Linked DNA regions of Lepisosteus oculatus. The protein of the gene in region 1 purifies or fractionates together with the protein of each later gene. This does not show direct contact. Links are inferred from orthologs where the notes say so. Each region holds a gene or a part of one and is shown on either strand. Other genes may lie near its edges.

Region 1 (15,955 bases):
ATTGTAAAGTTACTACATTGTCTCTTTTGTTACATGGTGGGATATAAGCTTTGTTTAGCAAATAGTACTGATCCAACAGAATTTCTTTTAAAACATTATAAATGAATTAACATTTTTCATATATGGCTATGAGATATTGCTCCAGAATTAGGGCTAAAATACAATAAGTAATTCAAAGTAGCTTAAAAAAATGCATAACGCGTCCAAGTGCGAATTTGAATATCATTTTGGAAGCTAAAAATATTTAATTTAATGATATGAATATAACATCTTGATTTTTTTTCTTCTGTTTTTAATTATCATTATAGCATTTTGTACTCTATTGATATATAACAAAACATAGAACCACTGTATTTTGCTAAATCGAGACGAGCTCCCAATGACCCTCTCTTTATATGACACTTTGGCATAGAGGTTGATTTGTGATACAATTATTGTAGATGGTCAAATGAAAGTTTGTTTCTGAAGCAGCATCCTTAATAACCTAGGAACCAGAATAGTTTTAGGTAAAATATAAAATCTTGCCATCCAATGCAAACAACATAATCCTTTCAATACGCAAGAAGAAACCAGATTCCCTGCACTGCTAGTAATTTCAAGTTTTATTATGATTTACACTATGGTCTTGATTGAACATTATTATTATTAAAACATAATATTAAGAACATATTTACAAAAATATATGGATGGAAATAAGGGCTTTGGTTGAATAATACCACAAACAAAAGAGGTAAGAATATTTAAGTGTAGCCGTTAGTTATCTTTGTGCATGGGGAAGCAATCACATTGTTATTAAAAAAAACAGTCTCTCCTGTAGAAAAAAAAATATTTATCAACTTTATTTCAAAGATAGTTTTAATTAATTAGATAATATATTGAACTACTTCTCCTACATGAACCTAAGAAATGAATGCCATAAATTGTTGGTTATATGAATACTAAAAACTATTCTTTGCACAGCTGCAGAATATCACCAATGATTTATCATTTTTATGTACCAGAAACAGGTCCTTTTTCAGCTATTAATCATAATGAAAATCATTTAATTTTGCAGAAAGTGGACTATTATTTCAGGCATTTTCCCTCTCAGCGTAAATTGGTAACTAAACCAGTGCTACGACAGTAGTCACTGCAAAAAATATACTGAATGTACTCTGAGATCAGAGTTGAATTTAACCATGCAGTCCAAGCTAGGTCAATACATCAATTTTTTTTCCTTAGAATTTGCACTTTTATTGATGTTGCTTGCCCTGGTGCTCATGTAACAACTGAACTTATTTCTTTCCTAACAGTAACTCCAAAGCACTGGCCACTCTTACTATAATTCATTTGCGCTGCAATCTATTATAACATTCTGAAGGTAAATCACTTTCAAGCAATAAGTGCACGCAAGACAAAAAAACGATACCTGGACCAGGCAGGTAGGACTTAATGCAAGAATTGGTCATCTCACACCAGAGACAAATGCACTTGACCTTGACTAAAACTAATACTGTACATGAATACCGATTACAATAAAACTTCTCTTGGCCTTTAGCTTTTACAGCTATTTCCACTAGTGTTTATACATTCTATATTAATGTGAAGAAGCATTCTGGTATAATATCCAAACTACTGTACACACAATATGAGAGCGGACTGATCAGGAGAGGAATTTAGGACAGTTCTATGTATCAATAGCTAAAGAAAGCACAAGTAAAACGAGCATCCAGTAGTATAGTTAGACAAATTCAGGCCAGTACAACCTAAATAACAGTGAATGCATAATGAACACTGCATAATGATGTAAAATTCAACTTGCCATGGTATTCTCCACTGCATCTTGTTAAATATGTTAAAGGTTTATGTGAAGACAATAAAAAAATAGTAGGTCCAATAGCTCAATTTGTATTTAAGTATTGGTAACTGTAAATACAGTATCTTCATAAATAGAAAAACAATCTCAATTAATAAGAAAAGCTATTACTGTACAGCATTATCGTCATTTGCACAGTCCCCTTAAAGCAAACACTTGGTTATGAAAACATCCATTTAGATAGCTTGGTAGAAAATCTTTTTTGTCAAAATCACCAGAGTTAATACATTGATCTTTGTTCTATAATTTGAGCATGTTAAAGAAAATAATGTTATCATTTTCTTTGAAGCATTATTTTCCAGAAGTGCTTGTACAATTTTAACTTGTAAGTGAACAATATTTTTGGATAATTTAGAAGTTACAGTACTTGTGAATATACTGTAGTATACCAATTATTCTTATACAACATCTGTCCTTTTTTACTTTAAAGTGGATCTTATTCACCAAGTAAAATCTCAATCAAGGTCATCTTTATCATCACTTTGTGAGCATCTCTATAGAAAACTGCACCAATTTTCATTCCTTTGCAAAGTATCTTTTAGAAATCATCTTCATCTTCTTGAAATGTCAATATCTGTTTTTATATAATGGAAAGATACTCTTCATCATATGAACCATTTTTTAAAATAAACTTTATTTTAGCTGCCTAAACTATTCTACTATAGATTAAAGTTACAATAGCATGTTAATGATCATTTTGCTGAATACAGTAATCAGTAATAAGTCATCAGGCAATCAAGTATTTTTTTATACATTTAGGTAATACACTAGCCTTCTCGTTAGTTTCTTAGATTAGTTGTCTTTTGAACGGTTATGATGATCACTTTTCTAAAGACTAGAAACTTACCTGTCATACAAATGTGAAATTCACAGGATACTGTATGAACAGCGATGTATGCATGCAAAACAAAGCCCATTACACCTTTCCCTCAAATTCCATGCACACTTATTCTTCATTCAATCTCACTCAAGTTACTGGACAGGAAGTAACAGTACGTATGTAGTATATAAGATAAAAGCATAAAGATTTTTCGAGGAAAAAAAAACATTATATTATTAAGATGTTAACTTTCTTATAGTTTATAATCTTGCACTGAAATTGTCTTCGTGGTGTTAGGTATTGTTTCATATTGTTTAAACGTTCCCACATACCTTTCATATAGGGTCTGTAAAGACAACATCTAAATTACTAATAGGCCTAATAATATTTTAAAAATATATGCAAAACACCAATGAAGCAAAATATCATTGGTGTATTACAAATACACTATTCACAAATAGACACTGTGTATTTGATAACACTTTGATCAAACAAAAACAATATTATTTAATGCAGCTAACACATCGATTCCTTTAAATTGTATTTAAATTACTCAGGAAATTATTTTTAAAACTTTATGCACACGATCGTCAAATAAGCAGACTCAAATCGAAAATGTCTGTTTACGAAATAAAGGCGATGCATACCATTTTATACATATTTTCCCATTTCCAATGACAGCTTTATTTTAAGACTTTGCGCACTTCACAGTCGTATTTAAGAAAGGCAAAGTAAAGATTTATCTTCACCTTTAAACTAAACGGCTGACTACATATGTTAGGTCGACGTAATCTTCTGATGCACAAGTTAATAAATGACGTGTATACTAACTTTTTAAGGTTCAAAGAGTGGAGTCTACAGAAAAAAAACTTTGAAACACCAAAATGTTTAACTTTGCTTTGAAATTAATAATTAACCATATGAAGTCGACATGAACGATTCCTTTTGAACGTTGTGCAATACTAGCCAAAAAACAAACAGTAATAGCTGCCATACGAAACATGGGATTATTTTGTTTCTTTACGTACAGAGATACTGTATGTATTTATGTTTCATGAACTCACGCCTGCCACTGGAAGAACCTAAGGAAGCCACAGAAACCTGTTCAGTCTGTTTCCTCCAGCAATTGAGTTACGTTTGGTCGAGACTTGACTGGCTCGAATTAAAAAAAAAACTAGGGTTTTCCAGGTGTCTGTGATTGTACCTTCCCCCACTTCGAAGAATAATGTGTGTGTAATTATTGTTGTTGTTGTTGTTGTTGTCATTTCATTATATAGTTTTTTAATTAATACATAAATTACAAGTTCTGTTTATCAGATGGATTCTGCTATTTGATGGCCTTTTCATTTTCTTCTAACAATTTACTGTTAGCACTTTATGTGGCTTCACGTGGCATTACACTATTTCACTTCTAAGTTACTGAACACGCTTAAATATGTCAGTGGAAAATACAATTAATTCATCTAAAGTGAACAACTTGAAATGCTTTTATTCTGGTCATAGCAGACTTTCGGTTTCTTGATAAGTCTAACGGACGTTCTTCTTTCAAATACATGATTTGTTTAAAGTAGATTAAACAAAAATCTAAATTAATCTTTTAACTTACGAGTATCAAGTTTGGATATTGAGTGGCTAATTGGTGCAATAAACTGTCATTTGTAATGTAAAAATACAAATATCCATATCAAATGTAAACTTTTGCATTGCTCCCTAATTACAATGTTAACTATAAAGGTACAGTACGTGTGTTGTTATTTGTACTCATTGTTTCATAACATGCTAAACTACAATAAAACAGAATATCGGAATTAATAAAGGGTTAACAACATTTTATGCTGAGAAGACTGAAAAAGTGGATAAAATCCAAATTGCAATGTTTTATTTATTGCAAATATCGTTTCAATTATTTGTATCCAGAAACAAAAAATGAAAATAAGCACATATATGAACATCACATATGGTTAGTATGTCGGAAGAATAAAATAATTTTGCACAGCAAAATATATAAAAAGAAAAGATTTTTAATTGACATTTTAATTTATTGTAGAATGGATTCTTCCCCTATTTTGCACATGCAGGGTATCAATCCCTGACGGTTTATAAATGTCCTGACATTACTGATTATTATAATTATTAATTTTATTGCCTTGGAAATGATCAATTCTGTTTAAGAACAACTAGTTCTGCATAATAATACAACTGTTAAAATTGCATCATTTAAAATTCTGCAGTATTGCCAGAAATAACTGCATGTCTGTTTGCATTCTTATTAGCGTTCTAAACAGTTCTGCATTTTGTTACACATGCTTGTATGTTCTATTCTAGTGCAATTCAGTCCAAAATACTTCAATTCCTTGAGAAGAATACATTGTCCAATGTATAATCTCCGTTGTGTGAAACAGGAGTCCCCTCCTGATTTAATACTTTGGTTTAAAAATACAGTCAGTGGTATTACAGGGGCTACATTTATCCAACTTGGTTTAATTGCAAGCACATGCTGCAAATAAAGCTGTTTTCGTATTAAAACAATCCCATTTTATTTGACAAATTTAGAACCCCCCGCCCCTCCCCCCTTACATCAACAACAGAAAAAGACATTTTAGTGCATCAGACCTTATAAAACCTACTTCTAAGTAAACCTAATTTATCTACAACATTCCTTTTTAAGAACAACCTGTAGCACAACCTTATTAACTTTAGGGCTTACAGATTATAAAACTATATACTTAAATTACGTACTAGGAACCCATAGCATTCCAGAGTTACCAAATGCATAAGGATGGGGGTAATTATTAAATAAAACAAACTGCTTTAAGCAATAAACAGTTTTAGTCCCAAAGAGGGATTGATTCCTTTTAGAATTTTCGAAGTCCTTATTCCCCCTCATAACATGGAATCCAACCTGACAACTTCAAACGGGAATGCTTCAGTGCATTAATTGTATAAAAAATGAGAGTCTGACGATGTCGTACAACTCAAAATCAAGCAGTCTAGATTAGCAGATGCGATTTCATGGGAAGGGTGGGAGAGGATGTCCCTCGCACTTTTTTGTTGCAAACTCAAAAAAGTGATGAGGCAATAAAAGAAAGTTATGAATGCCATGCCGTTAAAGTCATCCAGGAAAGTTCATTTTCAAGCACAAAAAAAGAAGAAAAAAATACCGTACATGTCCAGCATGCAGGGTTGTTTATTAATATATTGTCTCTTTTTAATATTTGTTTCAAAACAGTTACAGTTTTGTTGCTAAAAACAAAATAGCATAATAATGCATGAGATGAGAATGGGGTAAAAATGGCAGGCTCAGAGTCTTTCATGTTTGGCATTTCATGTTTGGTAAAAAAGCCAAATCTCACATGAAAACTGAAGGTAGCTGCAGTTGGTTTTTGGCAGGTGATGGTTTTTTTTTTAGATTCTAAGCTTAACAACGTCAAAAAGATCTCAGCTGTTGAACTTCAATGTTATATATAGATACAGTACTACAGTGTATATATATATAACATTGTAAGTTTATAACTGCTTTAAAAAATACAACGATGATAGATCTAGAAAAAAACACAGCAAGCCAAAAAATCACATGAGCTAAACAAAAGAAAAACAATAATAATTATAATAAACACGAAGCTGATGGCAGGTTTCAAAGAGCGAGCTCCAAAATGAAGGACATATTTCGACGACAAGTTCAATCTTTCTATTGCAAGCCCCCAAAAAACTCACGTAAGTTGACAAGCTTGAGCAAACCCCAATTCTCATAAAAAATCAAATTAAAAAATGACAAAAAAGAAAATAAAAAAGTTGGCAAACTTGTTTCTTGGTCTAGCAAGCCCCAGACAAAAAATAATTCACATGGAGAACTTTTATGAAGGGGTTGACAAGCTTGATTTTCGTTTTTTATGCTGAGACTCACATGAAAAATTCTGGAGAGGAAGGGTTGTCACTGCTGGAGCCGTTTTCTCTGAAGCCATTGCTGATAAGCTTCTCGTATTTTTCCTTGTAGGCATCCCTCTCCCGGACCAGCCTGGAGATCTCTTGTTTGAGATGTTCAACTTGCTGCATGAGCTGGGTCTTCTCGCCTTCCAGGACGTGCCTTTGCTGGACCCTCTTGTAGCGACAGGATTGAGCATAGCCTCTGTTTTTGAGGGTCCTCCTCTTTTGTTTAAGCCTGATCACTTCTTCTTTGCTGACCCCCCGTAGCTGCCTATTGAGCTCTCTCACTGACATGGTCACCAGCTGCTCGTCCGAAAACCTGTCTTCCAAATGCATGTGCTGGTGGTTTCCTCCTGAGTTAACGTTGGAGGCGACCCCGGGTGCTTGGTGATGTCCCCCGGCGTGGTGATGGTGGTGATGGTGATGGGGACCCCCGTTCTGGGCTGCGGCTGCCGCGATAACTGCGGACACCACAGCGGCTGCCGATCCCATCTCTTCCCCGGCCATGGTGCCTCCTGATCCGGCTGCGCCGGCAAACTGCTGCCCTCTAGCATAGCCATCGAAGCTCTGAAGCTGATGACTGCTGTTGATCAGCGCCTCTACGGCGTCTTCGGGGCTGAAACCCAAAGCCTCCGGGTTTAACTGTTGTTGGTAGCCGGTCATCCAGTAGAAATCCTCCAAGTGTGCCTTCTGGTCGCTCCCGGAGCCCGGGCTGGGCGCCGAGAAGCTGGGAGAAGGAGGTACCGAGCTGCAAGGCGTGCTCATCGGGGTGGAAGACAGGGATCCCCCGGCGATCAGGCGGCTGCACTGGCTGATGCTGCGATCGGGCTCCACCGGCTCCTTTTTCACTTCAAACTTCATCAGATCGAAGTCATTAACATATTCCATGGCCAGGGGACTGGTGGGCAGGTCGGAGTTGCTCATTGCCAGTTCTGATGCCATCCTTTTGCTGTTGACAGTCCTCCAAAGGGGGTGAAGAGCAGCTGTCAAACTGTTCTGGTTTGAAAGAGTGTGAGCCAGCTTGATTTATTTATTTATTTATTTTTACCAAGAAAAGGGCTTTCAATTTGCAGCAAAGACTAAAAAATATATAGTTTTCCTTTGCAGAGTCTATTGCACAGACGCATCAGAGCAGTGCGTGTTTCTCTTTCTTCCTTTCTTTGCATGTGATAGCAGTGTAACAACAGCCTCTTATTTCAACCATTTAACAGTTCATGACTTCTTCAAAAATAAATTGTAAAGTGGCGAAGGTAGAAGGGTGCAAGTGAGAGGTAAACTGTAGTCTTGTAGAAAAAATATTCCCCGGGCTTGTTGGAGAATTTTTTAAAGGATCACCCAGCAGATGAGTTTAAAAGCATTGCTGAGTTTTATAGCTGCCCTGACGTCAGGTGTAATGGGAAATTGACTCAGACTCGGAGCCAATCGGCTCTCTGAATCTGAAAGCTAATTAACATAATAGTGTAGAAACAAAACTTTTCTCAACTGTCAGGGACTATCAGCTGACTGTCAGCTGGGACTCAAACTTTTAACTCTTTCGTGTCAGTTTTAGGTCAGATGGTCATTTGTTGTTGAATGCCGTTTCTCTGCTATAATTTGCGGATTACCTCTTTTAAAATTAGTTAAAATACGTCAAATGCATTTGATTTTATGGCGGAATCGGTAATTATACCAAAAGCCAAGAGACGGAGCAATAAGTTAGAAAGCATCGAATACTGAAGCATGGTGACAGAAATTCAGCAATGTTCCCCGGAGTTTCAGAGAATGCCCGACAGACTGTCTCTTCCTAAACGTTAAACATTTGAGCATATTTGTTTGTTGTGTTTGACTTGTTTGTGTGTGTGTGTGTGGGGGGGGTTGCCTTAAAAAACGGTGAAAGTTTGGCATATTGCACCTCTCCCGTGTTCATAACATGAGACTTTTGTTTTAACAAAACAAAAGTTACTTTATTACTGCTGTAGTTTTTGAGTGCTTCCGAATCGAAACTGGGATAGGTCTTGTCTGCGTGTCATTTTTTTTCCCTGCTTTACTGTATGTTTTATAACTAACAATGCATTATATAGCTAACAAATAACATATTTTTACAGACAAATGCCTTTATAAGTTTGCTTTTCACTACAAACTTACATAACTCTAATGTTTTAATTTCGCGGTAAAACTTTAAATTAATTTTCGCTGAACACCCAGCATTCGTATGATTCCATGCACCGCCAAGTTTGACAAAAGGTAAGAGGTGCACAAGAGGAGAAATAGTTGAAACAATCAGAGCTTTACATTTGGAAACTCAACACTGCCACCTTTTGGAATAAGAGTTGCAGGAAATGAAACGTGTCTTGGTTAAGCAGTATTAGTTTTTATGTTAAATATTTTACATTCATTTTCAATCGTAAGTATTAAATGTTTTCACTCATTAAATGTGTTACACACAGCATTAATATAACACATATTGCATAATAACTTAGACCAAGGCATTCCTTTAAGAAGAAATGTATAAAAATATTTTGTACACTTATTAAACTGGTTTGTAGAGCGACAAAGATGCACAAGAAGAATTACAAGGAATTGTTTTTATTATAGGATGACAATATACCAATAATATACCATAAATCTAAGAAGTACAATTAATCAATATAACAGTTTGATAAAGTACTATTGCCTTGCAACTATGTAGTATAGAAGCTGAATGTGTGAGTTAACATCAACTATTCTAACTACTTTGTAATTTTCTTCAGGTGTGTGGCACACCTGAAAAAGGCTCCACGGCCGAAACGTTGTGTTTTCTTTCTTCTTTTTTTCAGCATGGAATAAACCTATTACTTGTTCCTTTGCAGCTTACACATGCTGACGCAGCTACCCACCTGAACTGCTTTGTAATTTTATGTACTTAACATTAAAAATGGACATATCTGGTAATTGATCATGGTAATATTAACGGGGGTCCTAGTACGAAACTTTCTTCATATGGAAACAAATATTTTCCAGTGTTCGGCCTGTGAATCTGGTAAGAATGAAAATGAGAGGTGGGCAACCAATTTGCTCGTAGGGCAATATATTTACCACAAACGTACCTGTAACTTCTGGATATTTGAAAACAGAAGAAGGTTTTTAAATTAATTCACCTTAAAAGCCATGGAAATACAATAGGATGTCGCAGCAATCGTAAGTCCTATCATATATAAATCACAATTGTTGTCAATTCTTTTTATTTAAAATTGAGAGAATATAAAAAACACGGTTTACGTTAGATTCATTAAAACAAGAAGAAACATAGTCATTTTAAAATGCCTTCTTCATTTTTAACACTCTTTATGGCAATATCAATAGAATTAAAGTTAACTAATTCAGTGATTAAACGAGACTGTCTAAGCAAGATTAAGTGCACTGCTATAAAGTTGTTTATCTGAGAAGTAATTCTAAGAAACCTGACTTCTGACATTTAGTCATATATTAAACGACTTTCTTGTACATTGCACTTCATCCGGGGTTCAGAGGGCACTTATCTCTGCTTTCTATTCCTTGCATGCACTTCAGGATCTATACTAGGTTTACAGTATGTATACTGTAGATTTTATAGTGAATGTACTCTGTATTTTCCTTATGAAGTATATGCTGTTTTAAAACAAGACATTTGGTGGTTTAATCAAATCAAAAGGTGAAAATGGAAAGCCTATTATTGGTAAAGTAGCTTTGTTCTCTGAATTCAACAAGGAATAGACTTAGTTTGATTAAGTGTTTTGACATTGGAATGGCAACACACACATTCTTGGTTCACAGCCCAGTTGGTCCTTAGATTTCAGCCTAGTAGTGCAGGACTGGATCTGAAGAAGGATAAAACTGAAGTAATGCTCAGGAACCCAAAAGATAAAATATGTCTTTGAGGACAAAAACAATTGTCAGTTTTTGTACTGGTGATTATTGCCATTAAAAAGGAATGTGTTTCTTTGTAATGTTAAGTTTTATTGTTAAAGCTGAAGAAAACAAAGAAATCTATTATGAATCAGAATGATTGTCATAATTTTAATGTTTTTTTCTGTGCAATTTGCATTCTTAGCATGGGTGCACATCTATAATATTTAATAACCATTACTACATTTAAATATTAATATATTTATCTGATTAATAAACAATTTAAAAATAATCACAACCAGAAATATTTAAGGGAATCTTAGTGTTAACTAGTTATAACTGATGGCTCCATTCTTAGTTTGTTGTTGCACTGCTACTCATTTTTCCTGCTGCAATGAAAAATGACCATTTTGTGCATGTCAAGAAAGCCTATAATCATACACTAAGAGTACCTCTTTTAAAACCTGTGATCTCATCCAAAGAATGCAGGATATTTTAAGAGAGTATGGTAATTGTAGTATAATGATAGGTAAAATCAATCAAATTTCAGCTACCAGTGGCTGTTAAAGATAGAGGTTTTGTAAACTATCAACAGCTCCAGAGACAACCAGATTCAGTCTAAATCTGGGTAGAATTTACATTTCTTTCATTTTTCAAAATGTCCCATTTATTTTTAAACTTAACTTTTAACTTATAAACAGATCAAAGAACATACAGTGTAAACATACTGTATATGTATGCTTAAAATTAAAATGCTATTTCCAGTGTTCTTGGAGAAACAATGATATAGTTTAAAATACAAGACTGTCTTTGCATATTGTACAGTATATCAAAATATATATGAGAACTACTGTATTCTTAGTTTCCACTTGCTGTGTTTTATCACTTGTCAAATCCTGATGTAACGTGAATTGTATTTTTTCTTTAGTATTACAAGCATCACTTATAACAATATACAATTTTAGGATTTGCTGTATGGAACAAAATATACATTCATCATAATATGGAATGACTTGAAGTATAAAAAATATTCTCAAGTGTTCTCTAATTGAAAAAAACCTCTTTAAATGTACATATGGTATATAACAACACAGAATAGTACATTCAATTGTAAGATTACATTGGATATTGTAAGATTTCAAATTTACAATTATCTGTTGAAGAAATTTGTTTTATTTGGCATTGGTTTAATTGGTCAATTCATTGTTCTTGACAGTATATTACTAAATACAAAACTACAGAAAATGAAAGTCCAACCTTAATGAATTAATAATGATATGGAAAGTGCTCTCAGATAGCCATTGTAAAAATTCCTTTAAATCACTGCAGTAGTTTCATGAGAGAATTGAGAAAGGAATGAGGAAATAATCTTAATTAATGAGAGAAGAGGTGGAACTTCCTCCCAGTTGTGAGGAAAACTGTAAGTAAACATAAAGTAGTTTTGAACTGCTGCTGGAGTTCTAAGTGAATAGTTTTAATAGTCTGAAGAAGACACCCTTTCTGGATCACATTTTACAGGTGAAGTATTGAAAGTTAACAAAAGTGAAAGGTAAAATCAGAGAGAAAAGAATAAACTGTTTAAAATACTCTTTTTCTTACATTGCTTCATGAAAGCTGTTTTCAATCAAATTTTTCTCTTTTTAGGTTGAAGTTAACCTTTCTTCCTTGACCAGAGAATTCAAATAAACCTCCACACTAGAAGCTTTTGGTTCTAATTTGTAATTGTGTTTTTCAAAAGTGGCACAAAGGTGTACCTTTACTAACAGTGGAAGTCACAATGTATAACATTGTACTAAAATAATCTCAAAGCTCTATCATACATGTCATTATATGGATGGAATATTACACACTTTACAAGAAAATTGCAAATTATATTTAAAATAATTGCTGAGTACAAAAGTGTGTTGGAGCAGTTATTGTATAATATAACTAAAATTATACTAGAGTATTACACTAAGACATCATTAATTAATATATTCTCATACAATTGCTTATGGTATTTTTAACGTAAGTTATATAGCTAATTATAAAAATAAAATTCTTAGATTCAGTGATCAAAGGTTAAAATATAAACATTTTATTTTCTTGAATATTTTAACTGATAGTGGTACTTTAGATAAGTCATCAGTTCATTTCTCAAAAAATATATGTTTAGGTCTTGGGATGTTGTGCAGTACTGAGAATGTGTAATATCCTTAACAGATTATTATTTGCTATAGTATCAATTTCATATTCATATAAATCAGCATGTGTAGAGGATTACCTCACAGAGCTTAGCACTGTGGTCTTGAGAGACATCCTGACACTTGCACCTGTTGGCTAGTACATAAACTAATCATATACGGTATATTCATCAAGTCAGCTCTTTGTTGTAGTCTTTGGGAGCTGTGTACTCCTGAAACAAGCCATGACAAGGCCAGTCTCATTTCACTACACTGTAAGACCTAGTGCCTATGGAGGAAGTGAAATGGAAAATGATACATCTGGTACTCATAATACTACAAGGTGATAGATATTCAAATCCCTGCAAAGGGCTGCTGTGTGGCAGGCCTCTGGCTTGGATGAGTGCAGTCAGCCCCAGCTGGACTCGGCTTGTTGTGCTCTGAGATTGGGGACCTTAGCGACAGCAATGAATGATATAGCCTTGATTGAAACTGGCCATTTAAGTTGATTAATGTGCATGAAATTTGTATATAGATCTTAAAAAACACTGCAGCATCAGGTCTGTTTCTGAAACATTCTAAAAGAAAGGATGCCAGGCAAATGCCAGGTGTTTGTCTAGTCTTTAATTTTATCTAAATCTTTTTTTTGAGTTTCATTTGGATCTACAGTCTTTGATAATACGACTAGTAATACCAAAATAGTGTTAACTGCAAACTAGATTTATACTTATCAAACCATATTCTATCTAGATCATTGATATAAATGAAGAAGAACAATGGTCCTACTATAGATCCCTGTGGTACTCCACTAATGTCATCACGCCCATCCGAGTACTCACGTCTATAACAGACATAAACCCTGTTGTTGCTTTTCAATCTTCTCAAGATTGTTGGGTACAGAGATAAATATTCTATATCTTTTATTCTTTTTTTCAAGCTACTCTACATTGTATTGTTGAAACCCAGCATCTGTTCAATTCCAATTGTCTTCCCTTGTTTCCATTATGATATATCCTTGTACCCAGCAGGTTGTATGTTGTGGGCCTTGTGATTCTACATAATTCTACATAATAATGTACATGGCAGCTCCCCATCAGGTACCCAGTTATTAATCTATACGTATTTAATTCCTGCCTGATGTTTTCTGGCTACAGGACCTACACGACATCGAGCCCCACTCACAGCTGTCATATGCTTAAAATATAAGACGTGCAGCAGCTCAGTTTTCAAAACTGTTTAAAATCTTGATTCTGTTAACTGTGTCGTGATTTCTTGGTAACCTAGTCGGGAGTGATCAGGTCAGAGAACGCAGCAGCGGAAGAATGGGATTTCAATGTGCGCACTTACGTGAGAAAAAGCATGATAAAGACAAACATAAGCTTCTGTGGTTTATATTAGTTTGCCTAGTATGAAAGGATGTCAGTTAATTCATTTAGAGATGAGTGTGGTTAGCTGTGATATGACATTTCCATTTGACCTCCCAAAAGTACAAAAGAAGAAAAATAGCCTTGTGCTTTTATAACAGTTTTTGTTAAGTGACAAAATAAATTAAATGTTGCTGGTATGAAATAGTATATTAATTTTTATCAAGGCAAAGACTTTTACCCACATTAAAAGTTTTAAAATTGATGTGCCTTTTTGACATTATCACCAAGAATAAAGTTATTTCACTGGAACTAATGTATTACAATAAAGTGTACAAAGACTAATTGAAGACTGCTCAAGAATGGGATTGCATCAGTACTGATTGCCTATTGCATTGCACTTGTATATTTGTTGTAATGTGCAGGTATCACAAGATATTGTTAGAATTGTTCATCACAATTATTATACTCATATGGCAATTAACATACGTTTACAGATGTAAAAATGGCTTAAGTGGTGTAGTAGAATTATAGAACTATAATAAATAATAGGAGTCTAATTATGAAAAGTAATAATACTTTGGAAGAACAAGAATCACAGGTAAGCCCTCCAACAGCCTACACATGCTGATGCAGCCACCTACTTGAACTACCATTGTTTATGAAGTTGAGAGGTAAGAGATACTTTTCAATATTTTATTGATGCTACAGGCATTATGACATCACGTCCTAAAGGAAAACAAAAAAAGGTTCACAATTAATAAGTAGCAGAAGAAACTTTAATATGTACTTGAGAGCAGATATCTTCTCAGTATTCTTTAGAATCAGGAAAGGAAGGAGCAATTATTACTCTTATTGTGACAAGGATTGTTCAAAGACCCCTTACTGAAGACTGTCTATAGTAAAAACTAGACAAAAATATTTAATATCAGTGGACGTTTTTATACAGTACATTGTTTCTATTTGTATGGTGTAAAACTGCTTATAACTACATATTCAGACTAGGGGGCAATGCAGCTTTTATAAAAAATGTATTAAAATAAATTATAGTAAACTGACATACTGTACTGTACTAGGGGTATTAATTCCAGTGTAGACAACTTTTTTGCTGTCTATAAAGTATATTAGGTATTTTATGTCAAATTTGCATGTGGCTTTTTTAATTATTTGAAATGGTCTTGCACAGACAGACTTGGAATTAAAATAGTACTAAAAACACTGTGCCTGCTTCATTGGTACAATCTCTGCATGCGTCTGTAGCTTGTAAGACCTAAAGTGGAGAAAAGTGATATATACTGGGCATTTTATGGCTATGTAGTTCAGGTGGGTAGCTGCGTCAGCATGCGTAGGCTGCAAAGGAATAAGTAATAGGTTTATTCCATGCTGAAAAGAGGAGAAAGAAAACACAACATTTTGGCTGTGGAGCCTTCTTTGGGAGTGAGGAAGTACATGGAATTTTCAGCATGGAATAAACCTATTATTTGTTCCTTTGCATTTTATGGCTATTGATGAAAGTGCTCTTCCCAGGCAATAAATAGGTGTGGCGATTAATTCGTGATTTGTATAAATTCAAAATACAACACCTGAAGTTTATTTGTGCATCTTAAAATTATTTCAATACACATATGGAAAACATTGATAGTTTTGGGTCAATGTAGCCACATTCAATCAATTTTAAAAAATATTTTTCATTCAGTTCTTGTGTAAACAATAAAATGTATTTCGGGTGTTTCAAATATTATTCAGTATTTGTTGACAATATAGGGTATTTTCAGTTTCAACCACAGTAACATAAGCAGAATTGTGTAATGCCGGATACAAATAAAATGACCTTTTTCTGAGTTAAAAGAAATGAAGGACCACAAAGGAAAGTTCTTTAGTTTATCAGCCACCCCCTTACAAATCCCCTGCTTTTAGAATTAGTATTTGTTAGCACAGAAAACCATCTTTTGGATGGGCTTGCATAAATATAACCACCAATAAGTCA
Region 2 (15,828 bases), on another chromosome or scaffold:
CCACTCGCCCAGCCGCTGGTTCACGGCGATCTCCAGCTCGGTCATGGTGCGCTCGGTCTGGGCAGGAGGGAGAGCAAGAGGCAGCGAGATGTGACGCACACAGCCCAGACGCCAAACTCTGTGCTCTGAGAAACACATCCCCTCGGTCCACAGTGACGGACTCTACTCCTGCTCAGGGTCACAAAGTGTGTTATCAGGCATCCAAGACACCCAAACAGACAAAACTGATGATTGATCATTGTAGCTTACAGGCAGTGTGGACACAGGACAGGGACAGGACTGATCATTGTACAGTACAGGCAGTGCGGACACAGGACAGGGACAGGACTGATGTCGAGTACAGGCAGAGTGGACACAGGACAGGGACAAGACTGATGTCGAGTACAGGCAGTGTGGACACACCTTCTCCATGGTCATCATGTCTATCCCCCAGTGGGCCAGGTGTTCGGGAAGCTTGGGGTCTAGAACCATCTCATCCTCTTCATACGAATACACATCTATTAACGAGATCCAATAATGATGATAATGACTACTTAGAAAGAGAGAGCAGGGTGTTCAGAGTGAAAGGACCTGGGCTTTGCTACTGGTTATTGACAGAAGACAGGCAAGATAGGAGAAGAGGCTGTTCAAAAAGCCCTTAAATTACTGCTTTTAATTTGTGATTCTGCTCCTGGGGCATTTTTTCTTGGTTTCCATCAATATTTGGCAACATCGTTATTTGCACTTATTAAACTAAACTTCCTCTCAAAGGCACCAATTCGCTACTTCTAAAATAAACACACCCAAACTGACAATGACTATAACAGCACCTGCGCATTCATAGATGAAATAAATTTAAACTGACAATCTTAAATAAAATCCAAAGACTGGGGGCGAACATCGGGCAGGGGACGTTTTAATGGTGCCAAGGCCAGAATCCTGTATGCAGGCGGCAAAAACAAACTAGGAATACAAACTGGGAAAGCGTGAGACAGGAGAGGCTGGTGGTGAAAAAGCCCTGGGTGTCATCATTCATGGCCATGAGGCTTGAGGCACTTGAACATGAGAAATGAGATGTTGGCCGAAGGACACAGGAGGGAAGCCAGCTCACCTGCCCCGTCCGGGGTGATGGTGCCCAGCTTGACGGCCAGCGGGTAGTTAGTCTGCTGGTAGTGCAGCAGGGCGTGGTTATTGCCCCCGGAGCCGTCGAAGTACCGCCGCCCACAGAACACCTTCCCGTCCGTCAGGTTCAACCACAGGTTCTCCCGCAAGTCACAGTTCTCACAGCGCCAGCCACTGACCCAGAGAACAGCATTGTGGGTAAGAGACACACAGGCCACTCACCCAGAGAATGGCATTGTGGGTAAGAGACACACAGGCCAATCACCCAGAGAATGGCATTGTGGGTAAGAGACACACTGGCCAATCACCCAGAGAATGGCATTGTGGGTAAGAGACACACAGGCCAATCACCCAGAGAATGGCATTGTGGGTAAGAGACACACTGGCCAATCACCCAGAGAATGGCATTGTGGGTAAGAGACACACTGGCCACTCACCCAGAGAATGGCATTGTGGGTAAGAGACACACTGGCCACTCACCCAGAGAATGGCATTGTGGGTAAGAGACACACTGGCCACTCACCCAGAGAATGGCATTGTGGGTAAGAGACACACTGGCCACTCACCCAGAGAATGGCATTGTGGGTAATAAGCGCACTGGCCACTGACCCGGGGCACAGCATTGTAGGTAACAGACACAAAATTCACTGACTGAGAGAAGACTAGCATACCGGTCACTAAACAACATAATATTGACTGAAACTCTGCAGTGAATTAGGACACTTAATCTCAATGCAGGTGCTGTAGAGAAACCTCCTGCACACAGAGAGAGGCCCTCCCTTCTCTAGCAGCTACAAAGCATTTCAGATAGGAGACAAGCGTGCAGGGCCAGGAGACACACAGTCCAGCAAGAGGAGACAAGCGTGCAGGGACAGGAGACACACAGTCCAGCAATAGGAGACAAGCGTGCAGGGACAGGAGACACACAGTCAAGTACAAAGACTGACCAGGGGGGGATTTTCACCCCGTTGTCAAGCTGCTTGAGGTCGGCCGCGTGTTTGGACACCTGCCTGACCTCCCCATCCCACTGCTGCACCTGGAGATTGTGTGACGCAGAGTCTGCTGAGAGAACCCCTGCCATGGAGAGGGACACCTGAGAGAAAAAAGCAGAGAGTTAATAGATACCTGGATTGCAGGATGCTACCACACATTACCAACCAGTGACAGAGACTCAAGTTACACTGACCTCACAGCAGACTACAACTCCCACAAACCCCATCGTTGCTATTAAAAAAAACTACATGTACCAGAATGCCGCTTTTCCACAGCTTTATTAAACAATGAATGACGAAGCATGGGGCAAGTTCAGACTTAGTAACAGAACCAGGAGTTATATTTTAGAAGAGGACCCAAACATCAAGTTAAGAACAAGATACATGTTTAGAATATTTCAGAAGTATTAAGCTTCTTTAAATGCTTTCAAGGATCAAGAGTCAAAACAGAGTAATAACTCATTTTGGAAAGCCTTAATTGACTGCTTAAAAACCAGATGAATAAATGAAACCATATCACCCTGCAGCTCACAGCTGGCAGCCCCACTGGAGCTCAGCAGGTGTGAGCCTGGTCAGTATCTGGATGGGAGACTCTTGGGAAAGCTAAGGCTGCTGATGGAAGAGGTGTTAGTGGGGCCAGCAGGAGGCGCTCAGTCTGTGTGGGTCCTAATACCCCAGCATAGTGATGGGGACACTATTCTGTAAAAAGGCCCCATCCTTCAAATGAGATGTAAATTTGAGGTCCTGACTCTCTGTGGTCATTAAAAATTCTAGGGTGTTTCTCAAAAACAGCAGGGGTGTTACAATGGCGTCCTGACCAAATTTCCCATTGGCCTTTACCAATCATGGCCTCCCAATAATCCCCATCTATGAACTGGCTTCATCACTCTGCTCTCCTCCCCAGTGAGAACTGGTGTGTGGGGAGAGGACTGGAGCATCATTCAGGTGGGGCTGCACACTGGTGGTGGAGGTGGGATTCCCCATTACTTTGAGTGGAGTGTCCAGAAAAGCGCTATATAAGCGTTACCAATTTATTATGATGATTACTATTTCCTTCAAATAAGACTGAATAAATCATTGGAATTACCTAAATGTCCAAAATACACATTGTACACTCTCCATGGCAAGGAAAAAGAGTTAAGCAGGTAAACTTCAAAAAGCCATGTGTGAGCATCTTCCAAAATCCTCACCCTCTCGCGGACAACATCAGGCATGTTGGCCAGGTCTTCTGAGGTCACTTCCAGTCTCTCAGGAAAGATAACAACTTTCACTTCCTGGTCGTACTGATCCTGCTCAGACACGTCAAAGCCTCCTTCGATTCCTGAGCAAAAGGAAGATGAATTAATTCAGAATTTAACATACCTCTTCGGAAGTCAGCTATCACAGAGACATTAAAACACACCCTCATACAGACCTTAGAAACACAATTAACACAGAGATTAATACAGATCCTAATATAGACACACTTAACACAGAAATACAGACCCAATTATAGGCACTAATACACAGAGAGATTAATACAGACCCTAATATAGACACTAGAGACACACCTCACACACACAGATCAATAGAGACTCTAATATAGACCCTAGAGAGACATCTAACACAATAGATCAAAACAGATTCTAATATAGACACTACAAACACACCTAAGAAACACAGATTTATACAGACTATTTATATTTATAGATTACATCTTGGCTTTCAACACAATTGTTCCCACCAAGCTGGTCCTAAAACTCAGGAATCTGGGCTAATGCAACTCTATCTGCAACTGGCTAGTGGATTTCCTGACGGGCAGGGGCTGATCCGCAGACTCTGCTGCCTCTTTTGCCCAGCAATTGCCCACAGGAGACGAACACGGAGCCTCGTCAGGCCCCCGCCACGAGCTCACCAATCGCCAGTCGGGTGGGCTTCTTCTTCGGAGGGTCGCCCGCCCCCGATCCGTTCTCCTCTTCCTTCTGCGAGCCAACAACATTGACAGAAGGTCAGAAAACACTTACCCTGGGGCAATACGGAATGTATTCCCATGAGGGGCAAGGACAAAAAACGAAAATAACGGACGATTACATGCAAGCCCGGTAAAAAAATAAAATCCCTGAAGCAGCAGCACGATCCTTTCTAGGAGAAGAAACTCCATGTGTGCTTGCCAGGCCCTGACAGCAGGAGATGTCTGTATAGAGAGATACACCGAGCACTGGGGCCAGAGGGGTGCTAGTCACCCCATCACCAAGAGGTCGGGCAGCCCTAGTACTTGTACCAGAGGCTGGGGGCCCGGCATGGCGGTGCACATCCACAAACTTAATAACATAAAACAATTCCTTACAATTATACAACGCTTTTCTGGACACGCCATTCCAAGCGCTTCACAGGACACGTGTAGCCCCCAGCTGGAAATAAAAAAGTCGCCCTCCTTCGGATGAGACGTTAAACCGAGGTCCTGACTCTCTGTGGTCATTAAAAATCCCTGGGTGTTTCTTGGAAAGAGTAGGGGTGTTACCCCGGTGTCCTGGCCAAATTTCCCCCTGGCCTTTACCAATCATGGCCTCCTAATAATCCCCATCTCTGAACTGGCTTCATCACTCTGCTCTCCTCCCCACTGAGAGCTGGTGTGTGGGGAGCGTTCTGGCGCACTATGGCTGCCGTCGCATCATCCAGGTGGGGCTGCACACTGGTGGTGGTGGAGGGGATCCCCATTACCTGTAAAGCGCTTTGAGTGGAGTGTCCAGTAAAGAGCTATAGAAGTGTAAGGATTATTATTATTATGACAGATGACAGATGGGGGCGTACCTGTGGCCGGCGCGTCCTCTTGATGTGGAGGAAGGCTCTCTGGCCGGTCCGGCGATAGTGTCTCTCCACAAACTGAGCACCGAAGCCCAGGAAGGTGTTCATGCACACGTACAGGCCCCCCTCGCTGTCCTGGGAGGGAGAGAGATAGCGAGAGCGAGGGTGGTGAGACCGACCGCAAGCCAGAGGAGGCCTCTCGGCTCATCTAGAGCGCGTGGTAGTTAGGGGCTGATGGATTCCAGGAACTCATCGAGCTGTGTCCAGAAACACTCGAAAGGGACCCCTCTGCGGTGATGTCATCACTTGCGGTGATGTCAAGGAGAAAATGCTCCGCCCCCTCCAATTGGTGCTGACTCGCCTGCAGGGCTCTGTGGAGCTGGAGCAGTGGCCGGTCAGCACCCGAGCATTTGAAGCATGTTTTAGTCATAGTAAGTTTGGCTCAGCTCGGGAACAGAGCCAGAAGCAGATGCATATTAATGTGGGTATTCTCTCTCGGTCCAAAGACATTGTCTAACAGTAGCACAGAGATTAGCGTCGCTATCTTGCGGTGCTGGGGCCCTAGGTTCAATTCCCGGGGTACTGTATGTGGGGAGTTTGCGCGTTCTCTCTGGGTTCACATGGGCTTCCTCAAGGGGATCTGATTTCCCTCAGTCCAAAGACATGCTGGTGAGTTAATTGGATTCTGGGATAACTTGGCCCTGGCGTAAGTGTGTGTTCCCTGTGATGGACTGGCGTCCTGTCCAGGGTGGACCCTGCCTTGTGCCCCTTGCTTGCTGGGACAGACTCCCCCTCGACTCTGAATTAGATGAAGCCGTTATAAAAGGGAGACTTCAGCTGAAGGGCTTTCCTTTTCTACTGAGCGGGAGATCGCTCAACACTGAAAGGCCTGGAAATCTGCTAGAGTGACTTGCAATTAAACCCAAACCTCTCCCGCAATGGACAGGTCAGCTTTTGTGGTGCATTTCTCCAAGGAACACCTTCAAGACACGCTTGTGCAGAAGAGGAAGGAGGGAACAGGCCGATTCCTGGCGTTCTGACAGTTTGGCAGAGGGAATCCCTATCTGTCAGATGATGGTACCTGGCAGGGACACTGTTTGGCTGAGCCTGGAAACTACAGTGCATGAATACTGCATTGGGAGACGGAGAGCATGCAGAAACAGTGACTCAGACTACAGGGGTGTGTTGTAATGGACTGGCCAACTGGCACACACACATATACAGACCTGCAGACACAAATTGGCACACACAGACCTGCAGATACACAGACGAACTGGCACACACACACAGACCTGCACACACACACACAAACTGGCACACGAACATGCACAGACATGTAATGGTCTACACAGAACAGCTGACAGACGCTACTACACAACTTTTCGGTCAGGAAGGGGCGATACAGATGTTAGCAAGCGCCTCACACAAATATGAATTACAGAAAGGAAACAACACTACTCCCAAGTCAACCCGAGGGAGTTACACCGCCTAACAGAGACGGAGTGGAGGGATAGTAGGAGCAGACGAGGCAGAAATGGGCAAAAATAGACCCAGAGAGAGAAAATGAAGGCAGAAAGAAGTAAAGAAACACACTGGAACGAAAGAACACAGCGCGAAAATGGGTGGATATGCGGTTCTGGGAAAGACGGGTGAACAGATATTCAGACGATAGGAAAGGAGGGGGAGATTTTTGGACAAGGCGGGCCGGCGGGGGGGGACAGACAAGAGAGACAAACACACAGAAATAGCCCGGAAAAGCAGGAGCGGGGAAGACAGAAACAAAGACGTGGCCAGACGAGACAGAGACGGGGTTCAAGAGGGAAAGACTATGGATGGACTGGACTCACCGGACTGGCGAAAGAGAAAGCGCACTCTTCCTTGTGAACGCTGTCCCCGGGCCGTGGGACACGGATCGTGGACAATACCGACATCAGCACTTCGCCTAGGTCCGACATCGTCCTTCTCTTTTCTGTCCTCTTTTTTTTTTTGGTTGGTCTCTTTCTCTCTCCGGCTCGGTCCGTCTCTCTGTGTCACTGGAAACTGTAAGGCCGGGCGCGCTCCTGAGGCCAGACACACTCCGAGTCCGCCGCGGACGCGCGCCTAACCGTAATACAACTAGTACGAAGGAAGTCCCGTTTTGTCTTAACTCATAATTCCATCCTCAGGCATAAAACGCATTTCATTATGCATCCAATCCACTGATAAAGCTTAACTCATGGGAATGTACAAATAACAAATATGTTAAACGTTTTATATTAAATTTTGTTTAATTGCTCTAATCTCGATGAATATCTCTTAATAGCTTTATGCCGAAGGAAAATAGTGGGTGGCAGTTAATTTTAATAGCATTTAATTGGAAAAAAGTGATTGTGAAATATGCATTAAAAGCTTTCTGGACAGAAGTGAATAATAAACGGTATTAAAAACCTAACAATTTCTAGTTGGCTCTCACAATTATTTATATACATAAATAAGTAAAAGTAAAACAGACTCTGTACACAGGAACTCACATAGTGTTACTGTATTAATTCTAGTGACATTTGGAAGTTGTCCTATGTTGAACTCAACAATAATCTTATCGTTCCTTATATATCTTAAAATACGGTAACGGCTGATCCCGAGAATGCTGCTGCGCCGACAATGAGAAAGCGGAAAAGTCACTCCGGCTGCCCCGGAGAAGAGCCACTGCCACCTAGCGGCGGGCGGAGCGGGTCGCCTCGGTCATTAAGTTCGCTTCGGAAAAAGTTCCGAGTCAGAGAAGCAGTGTAGACTTTCTATGGACTCACAGATTCAAATGTAGACATACTAATTACTGCCTTTTACGTGTTGTGTCGTAAAATAGTAGTAGGAAAAAACACGTAGTAAAAAAAAATTAAATACAATTGTGTACATTAATCCAACACGAATGTTCAGAATCAGAACCGTCCAGCGCTTATGAGCCACATTTATGGCGTTTATTTCGGTTTACTAAGCGGTTCTGCTCCCGTACACTGCGACACCCCCTGAGATAACTGATTAATATTATCTGTTCACGACTTGCCTTACCGAGTTGCAGTAAACGTAATGCTTAAAAAGGCAACAAGTTATCCATCGACCGCCACGTACTAAGCATAAGGTATTGCAACTAGTAACGGCTCCTTAAATTTAAGAGTTCATGTATCACGTCAGCGACCGGGCGAAAACGTGCCTTTATTAACACAGGATGAAGACCCACACTCAAATACGTGCGCAGATTAGGCAGCACAAGGCGTATGTTGTCGTTGTCTGTCGTTCTCCGTTTCTCCCGAGAAGATGGTGCGACTTTCCCCAGAGACGCAGCGAGACAGAGCGAGTTTGTGTCGGTACCTTAACGAATACTCCTCTATGGGGTGGTGCATCGTTGTGTATACAATTTCCCGTTTATTCTTGCACACTTGGGGAATTACTGGCGCTGCCTCCCACGTAATGACAGACGGCTGCGTATGCAATACAGGAGAGCTGAGAAAAGAGTACCCTTTGTGCCTCATTTGTGTTATAATGACTGTATAATTATTGGGGGGGTAGAAAGACTAGGGAAAGTGGCACGTAGCCTCGACACAAAAACAGATTGAACACTTTTCCAAATGAAATCAACGATGAATGAAATTCGTTTTGCCGGCGTTTAAACGTGAGTTCTGTCGACGGCGCAAACTGCAGGGGTCTCGCTGCGACGTGGTTGGGCCGAAGGGCAGAAGAAGAGGGTCAGCAGAGCGCTTTCAAGGGCTTGAGGAATGCGGTCGGTCTGAACTCGCACAGCATTCTTCCCCACCGCGCAGGAGGATACTGTCTTCAGGGTACGACACGGTCCTTCCCCCCTCTCCGCTGTAACTCGACACTCCCCCTTCAATAATTCTCCCACACCGCAGAAAACCAGCCCCGTCTCCTCCTCTCTGAGCCCTTCCCCACAACTGTCGCCCCCCGTCCCAGGAGAAAGAGAGAGAGGAGGGAAAAAACACACTTTAATTTTACTACATCTCTCCCTCCACATCTCTCTGCCCTCCCATCTCCTGGAGGACCAGTCTCGGAATCCGAATGGCGTTTCGCGGAGGAAACACCGCAGCTAGCGACGTGGCACCGGGCTCCCCTCTCCTCTCTCTCCTCCTCCTCCTCCTCTCCCTCTCTGCCCGGGCCGCCGGGGCCCTGCTGGAGCCCGTCGGGGGCCAGCTGCTGCCCTACGACCGCCTGTACTACTCGGGCGTGCGGGCGTATTTCACGCAGGAGTGGGACCGCGCGGCCGAGTTTCTGGAGCGCTCCATCGCCACCCGGGCCGAGCTGCTCCAGGTCCGACGCGGCTGTCACGACCAGTGCGAGGCGGCGGCGGCCGGGGACTCCGCTCGCCTGGGTAACTACCGCGCCGGTGGGGATGCATGTGCTCTTTAAACACTGGCTTGGCATAGCCCACTGCTGATCTTTAACTTCGGTCACTGAAGGGCGTGGACTGACTGGACCGGACAGATTATTTATGATGCGCTGGTGCTTCGTTGACGGGTGATCGGTAACGATTCCCGAATGCTCGGGTGCGAGTTTTTGTCATTGGTTTTTGATGACACCGAAGAAGGCACTTGACTGAAAACCGGCCATCGATGTTTGAGAGAGACGGTACAGGAGAGAGATCTCAGGGCAGCTGAAGAAACGCCTGCTTTTTTATTCTCCTCCAGAGCCCCCAAATTTACTTATTACTCCTGTCACACCCCCTGCCGGTGTCTGGGCTATCGTTCACAGCTCCTGTGACTTGAGTCACGCTTTAAAATCCTCCGGTCAGGCAGTAGCTAGCTCATGATCTCTGCCTGTGCTGGAGAAGCATAGAAGACCCAGCAGCCTTCAGGACCCGAGTCTGGGACCCCTGGGCAACTGTAATATCGTACCCAATTGAAACCGATCAGCACAGATTGCTTTTCCCCCGAGATCATCCTGCACTGGAGGTTATCACTGGGATGAGCGTTAATGATGGATTATTGACAGACTGTCAACCGTGAGGCGAGTCAATAATGTCAGGAATGGATAAAGCAGCCAGAAGAGTGTCTGACTATTCGTTATTGATTATGACCCACACTGTCAATGATGATGTCTGGGAGCTGGCAGGTAATCAGACCTGATCAGCCGCTGGAAGAGTATCTTGACTATCTATTATTGACTGTGATCCACAGTATCAATGATGATCTCTGGCAGTAATCAGACCTGATCATCTGCTGGAAGAATGTCTCACTATCCATTATTGACTGTGATCCACAGTATCACTGATGATCTCTGGCAGTAATCACACCCGATCACCAGCTGGAGGAGTGTCTGACTACCCATTATTGACTATAATCCACACTGTCAATGACGATGGCTGGGAGCTGGAAGGTAATCAGACCTGATTAGCTGCTGGAAGAGTGTCTGACTACCCATTATTGACTATGACCCACACTGTCAATGACGATGTCTGGGGGGTGGTGGAGTGTCTGTCTTAATTCTCAGACGGGTCAGAGGGTGATACGGCTGTAATCGGTTCAGCCCGGGAGTAAGCAGTGGGACTGACTCAAGATTATTGATGCTCGATAGACAGCGCGGATGGGAGTCTCTGGGACCTGGCTGTGTTTGGGTTGGTGCAGCGGCGGGCTGAGTGTCTGAAATTCTGCCTGGAACAGCGCGTTACCCCTTCTGCCATCCCCCCTGTCTCCCTGGACATCCAGTATGAGTTCACCAACCGGAATCCTTATAACTACCTGCAGGTGACCTACTACAAGGTACTGGCTCTGTGTCTGCCATCTTATCTATGGGTGTACACTGCTGGCTGAGTCTGTAACTGTATATCTCCCTGATTGGTTCATCATCTTACTGTACGTCTTGTCTCTATACAGTAACTCCGGGCACCTGTCTCACGTTTGTCTGTTGTGTATCTGTTTGCCTGCATTGATTTCTCATTCTCAGCGCAGTGTGAATCTCTCGTTGTGCTGCAGCTGTATCACCCTGCAGCTCACAACTGGCAGCCCCCCCTGCAGCTCACCAGGTGTGAGCCTGGCCAGTACCTGGATGGGAGACCTCCTGGGAAAAACTAAGGCTGGTGCTGGAAGAGATGTGTTAGTGGGACCAGTGGGGGGCGCTGGTCCTGTGGTCTGTGTGGGTCCTAATGCCTCAGTATAGGGACGGGGACACTGTACTGTAAAAAAATTGCACTGTCCATCAGCTGAGAGATTAATCTGAGGTCCTGACTCTCTGGGGTCATTAAAAATCCCAGGGTGTTTCTCAAAAAGAGTAGGGGTGTAACTGGTGTCCTGGCCAAATTTCCACCCTGGTCTTTACCAGTCATGGCTTCCTAATAATCCCCATCTCTGAACTGGCTTCATCGCTTTGCTTTCCTCCCCACTGAGAGCTGGTGTGTGGGGAGAGTACTGGTGCATCATCCAGGTGGGGCTGCACACTGGTGGTGACAGTGGGATCTATTTCCTGTAAAGCACTTTGAGTGGAGTGTCCAGAAAAGCGCTATAGTGTATGGAATCATTATTACCTCCACTCAGCCTGTAGGGCCCTTGCGTTTTGTGTTGACCTCCTCCTCCTCTCTTGCAGCTGGGCAGGCTGGAGAAGGCGGTGTCAGCCGCCCAAACCTTCTTCGTGTCAAACCCGAGCCACCTGGAGATGAGGAACAACCTGGAGAAGTACAGGAGGATGAAGGGAGTGAGGGAAGAGGCCTTCTTCGACAGGGAGAAAGAGAAGCACTGGGTGAGTGAGAGAGTCAGAAATCCCACCCCCTGCATGGGGATGCAGGTCAATACAACACAGGGAACAGCTGTGCCACACTGTTGGGCCCGGTTCAGGTGTGCCAATGCCTTCAATAGCCTTAAGCCTGCGTGTGGAAGGATCACATATCTGCTTACCCTGGCCACTAACTTCAATAGGAACTGTCACCAATGCCATTTCAAATGCAAATAATATGAAATATATCCTACTGCACAATCCCTGCTCTACTGTTCAGGCAATAACAAGTGTGAGTAACACACTTACAATAAGTGCATGAAAGCTACTCCAATTATACAGAAAATAAGCAAAGGAGTTAGAAGAAATGTTCCTTAATTTACAAAAATGAGTTACTTTTTCCGATTGCTTTGGTTTGTCCGCTACTCACATAGTAAAACTAACATACGTGGCACATTTCTTCATTCTCGTCAGAGGAACATGTCCTATTGGTCATGTTATTTTAACTCTGCAACCTTGAATCCATCCATTTTCTAACTGCTTTATCCAGCAATGGGCACAAGGCAGGATACACCCTGGGCAGGATGCCAGTCCATCACAGGGCACACACACTGACACCAACACACACACACTCACACCGGGCTGTCAGTCACCGGGCAGGTGCTTCATGCCAGCATGCTTTCGGACTGTGGGAGGACACCAGAGCACCAGGAGGGAAACCCACGCAAACACGGGGAGAACATGCAAACTCCACCCAGACAGTACCCCAGGACCTAAACCCTGAGCCCTGGCACTGCGAAGCAGCAATCCTCACTGCTGCCTCTGTGCTCATCCATGCCAGAATCAGAGCCTGCCACCTCCTGCATTCAAGCTCTGACAGGACAGAAGGTCGAGTGGTCTTGACTTCAGGTGAAAGGGTGGCAGCAGGTCCTGTGGTTGAGATATAATCAAGCTTTAAGCAGAGTACCATGAGCTATAGTACAATGCATTTGCTACAGTGTAGTGTAGTGTTTTCTACCGTTTAGTACAAAACAGTTTAGCACAACATAATATTCTACTCTCCAGTACTATACTACAGTGTTACTGCAGTGCTGTATTACCCAGAGTTTGTAGCTGGTTCTTTGCACTTGTGAACTGCCGAGTCCACTTTGAGAAACTAAGTGTTAGACTGAGTGGAAGCAACTGTTTCATGAAAACAGGTGCCTTTTTTTAAGTATGCTGTCCACCTGCTCCAGACACTCTTGTGTCTCATGGAATGAAGAAGTACAGTATCTCTCCATCTCCTCCACCTTGTCCACTTCTCTCTGCCTTTCTCCATATCTCTCCCTGCTTCCAATACCTCCCAATACCTCTGCCCCTTCTGTGCTCAGACCCTGCATGACTCCGGCGTATTGGCTGAGAGCATCTCCGATTGGCCGCGGGCGGCAGAGGCATGGAGGGAGTGTGTGAACGAGACGCTGGCTGCAACAGAAGAGTGCAGAGCCAACTGTGCGGGGGAGGCGCTGCAGCCCAGTGAGGAGGACAACCAGTTAACCGGCACCAAGGGGCTCTACGAGAGAGCAGCTGGTAAGAATGAATGGCAAAAACTACAGCCCCCAGAATGCACTGTACGCATCAGAAGGGTGTTTATGGGAAATGCAGTTTATAGTGTGTACACTTATATCGCATTTTTCTGGACACTCCACTCAAAGCACTTTACAGGTAATGGGGAATCCCACTACCACCACCAATGTGTAGCATCACCTGGATGATGCTCCAGTACTCTCACCACATACCATCAATCAGTATGGAGGAGTACAGGGTGATGAAGCCAGTTCAAAGATGGGGATTATGAGGAGACCATGATTGGTAAAGATCAGGGGGGAAATTTGGCCAGGCCCTGGGGTAGCACACCTACTCTTTTCAAGAAACACCCTGGGATTTTTAATGACCACAGAAAGTCAGGATCTCGGTTTTACATCTCATCCAAAGGACAAAGCCTTTTAACAGTATAGTGTCCCCGTCGCTATACTGGGGCATTAGGACCCACACAGACCGCAGGGTGAGCACCTCCTACAGGCCCCACTAACACCTCTTCCAGCAGCAGCTTTAGCTTTCCCAGGAGTCTCCCATCCAGGTACTGACCAGGCTCACACCTGCTGAGCTCCAGTGGGGCTGCCAGTGGTGAGTTGAAGGCTGATATTGCTGCTGGCATAACTAATATGATATGACTTACATTTTTAACATTGTTATTTTAGTACATTTATGATGAATTATATGAGTAGATAGCAAATTAACTCTGTCTATCCTCTCCCAGTACAGCTACAGCACTTAAAGGACTGCAGTGTGATATCTGTGACATAGTGAGTCTACTTGAGTCACCCCTCTCTGCTTTTTCCTCATTCTCAGGGCTGTCACTCCAGCTGCTCTCCTGCCGCCAGTCCTGTGTGTCTCTCGTAGCCACGCGACCCGGAAGGATTTCACCCATTGAGGACTTCCTGCCATCGCTCTTGGAGCACCTGCACCTGGCGGAGTTCAAAGGTCAGAGGTCACGGCATGTTTATGCACACGCACATGCTTGCAGTTTTAGAGTCTGTGTTAATCCCATTCCTGTGTATTAAAGTACTGCAGTGCCCAGTCATGTATTCCGGCTGTCAATCAGTAACTCAGTGTTACTGACGTCAGATCTCTGTATGTGACCTCTGACCTGCCTCCAGTTGAGGAGAGGCAACTGATTCAGGAGCAGATGGCCAGCAATAACGATCAGACATGACAGGCGTGTAAGTGTGCTTAACCGATACAACAATGACAGCTGCTTTGTACAGTAACCACAGAACTACAGTGTGCAATGTCCATGTATAATCCTCATTGTAAGCAAATAACCCCTAAAAAGAGTGACTATCACTTATGGAAGTAGTTTTCTGTAGAGTATGATTGCTCGATCAAAGCAGAGATCTTACACTCTCCAGTTAGTTGATGTCAGGTCTGCTGGTTCCCTGCCTCTTCTCCTGAATTAGTGGTGGGATGAAAGCAGAAGTCCTCAGCAGAGCTGGAAACTATTATTATTATTGTTATTATTAATAATAATAACATACACTTATATAGCACCTTCCTGAAACTCCACTCAAAGTGCTTTACAGGTCATGGGGAATCCCACTGCCACCACCAATGTGCAGCCCCACCTGGATAATGTGGATTCCATTAGGAGTACAGCGTGTGAGTGTATACTAAGACCTGTCCCCCAACAATTTCTCTCTGGGTCCGGATGTTCAGCCGGCGCCCTGCAGGGGGCGGTGATGTCTGCGCGCGCCTACCTGCTCTTCTACCCCGAGGACCCGGAGACCCTCTCCAACCTGCAGCTCTACCTGAGGACACCAGGGGGCAGCACCCCGGAGAGCGCCCAGCCCCGAGAGGTCAACCACCCCCCGCGTGTCCGTCTCTCTCCTCTCGCCATGTCTTGGGCTGCCTGTGCTCACTCTGCGCAGCTCCTCTGCTCGGCTTTCTGCTGCCTTTCTCTCCCTAGACCCCGTTCCTGTTCAGGTGGGCCAGTCTTGTTGTCTGTATTCACCCCCCCGATTCTCTCTCCCTCTCGCTCTCAGGATATTTCTCGGTATGTCCATCGGTCGCTGCTGGAGAAGAAACTGCTCTACTTTGCGATGGAGAATCTGGGTTTCAAGTTCACCGATCCAGTAGGTCACTGACCCTGTTAATGTCTTATTAGGGACGTTGCTATTTCAGTGGAAATAGCGTGTTCAGGATTGCTCAGGTCTTTCCTCTTGAGAAAATTACTTTGGGATTATATATCAGTTACAGTATACTGTAAATATTTCTGGCTATATACTACACATGCAGATTTTGTATGTCCAAACTCTTGGTGGCACGCGGGTGCAGTGGCCAGCATTGCTGCCTCTCACCGCTAGGGCACTGGGTTCAATTTGTGGGGTGCTGCCTGTGTGGAGTTTGCATGTTCTCCCCATGTTCCCATGGATTTACTCCTCCAGGCCCCAGACATGCTGGTAGGTTCTGGGTAAAGTGGTCCTGGCGCGTGTCTTGTGTGTGTGTGAGTGTGTGTCCATCTGCCCTGTGATAGACTGGAATCCTGTCCAGAGTGTATCCCATTGCTTGCTGGGATAGACTCCAGCTCCCCCTTCAATAGATCGTGCATTGGAAGAAGGGTTTGGAAAATGGAAGGATAGATGTTCAAACTCTTTATCTCTCATTCATTATGAGTCAGTGTGTTCCAGATGAAGGGAATGGAGATGACTTCATGGGCACGGAA

The links.
Region 2: the proteins of mafa (region 1) and usp5 purify together in Homo sapiens (affinity purification with western blotting; 3 studies listed by BioGRID, with this or other methods). This does not show direct contact. The link is inferred for Lepisosteus oculatus from reciprocal best matches to the Homo sapiens genes MAF and USP5.

What each region holds. Positions count from the first base shown.
Region 1 is NC_090715.1:17,781,039-17,796,993, forward strand, and holds the start of mafa (transcription factor Maf), read right to left. Parts: upstream 7,954-15,955; 5' UTR 7,542-7,953; coding exon 6,580-7,541; intron 1-6,579.
Region 2 is NC_090718.1:2,636,642-2,652,469, forward strand, and holds the start of usp5 (ubiquitin carboxyl-terminal hydrolase 5), read right to left. Parts: upstream 7,189-15,828; 5' UTR 6,833-7,188; coding exon 6,725-6,832; intron 5,013-6,724; coding exon 4,884-5,012; intron 4,055-4,883; coding exon 3,988-4,054; intron 3,415-3,987; coding exon 3,284-3,414; intron 2,195-3,283; coding exon 2,049-2,194; intron 1,276-2,048; coding exon 1,091-1,275; intron 498-1,090; coding exon 403-497; intron 58-402; coding exon 1-57. Other genes in the region: p3h3 (prolyl 3-hydroxylase 3), read left to right, coding at 8,928-9,237, 10,440-10,624, 11,445-11,597, 12,941-13,136, 13,959-14,090, 14,823-14,962, 15,149-15,238. UniProt on the Homo sapiens protein: Deubiquitinating enzyme that participates in a wide range of cellular processes by specifically cleaving isopeptide bonds between ubiquitin and substrate proteins or ubiquitin itself.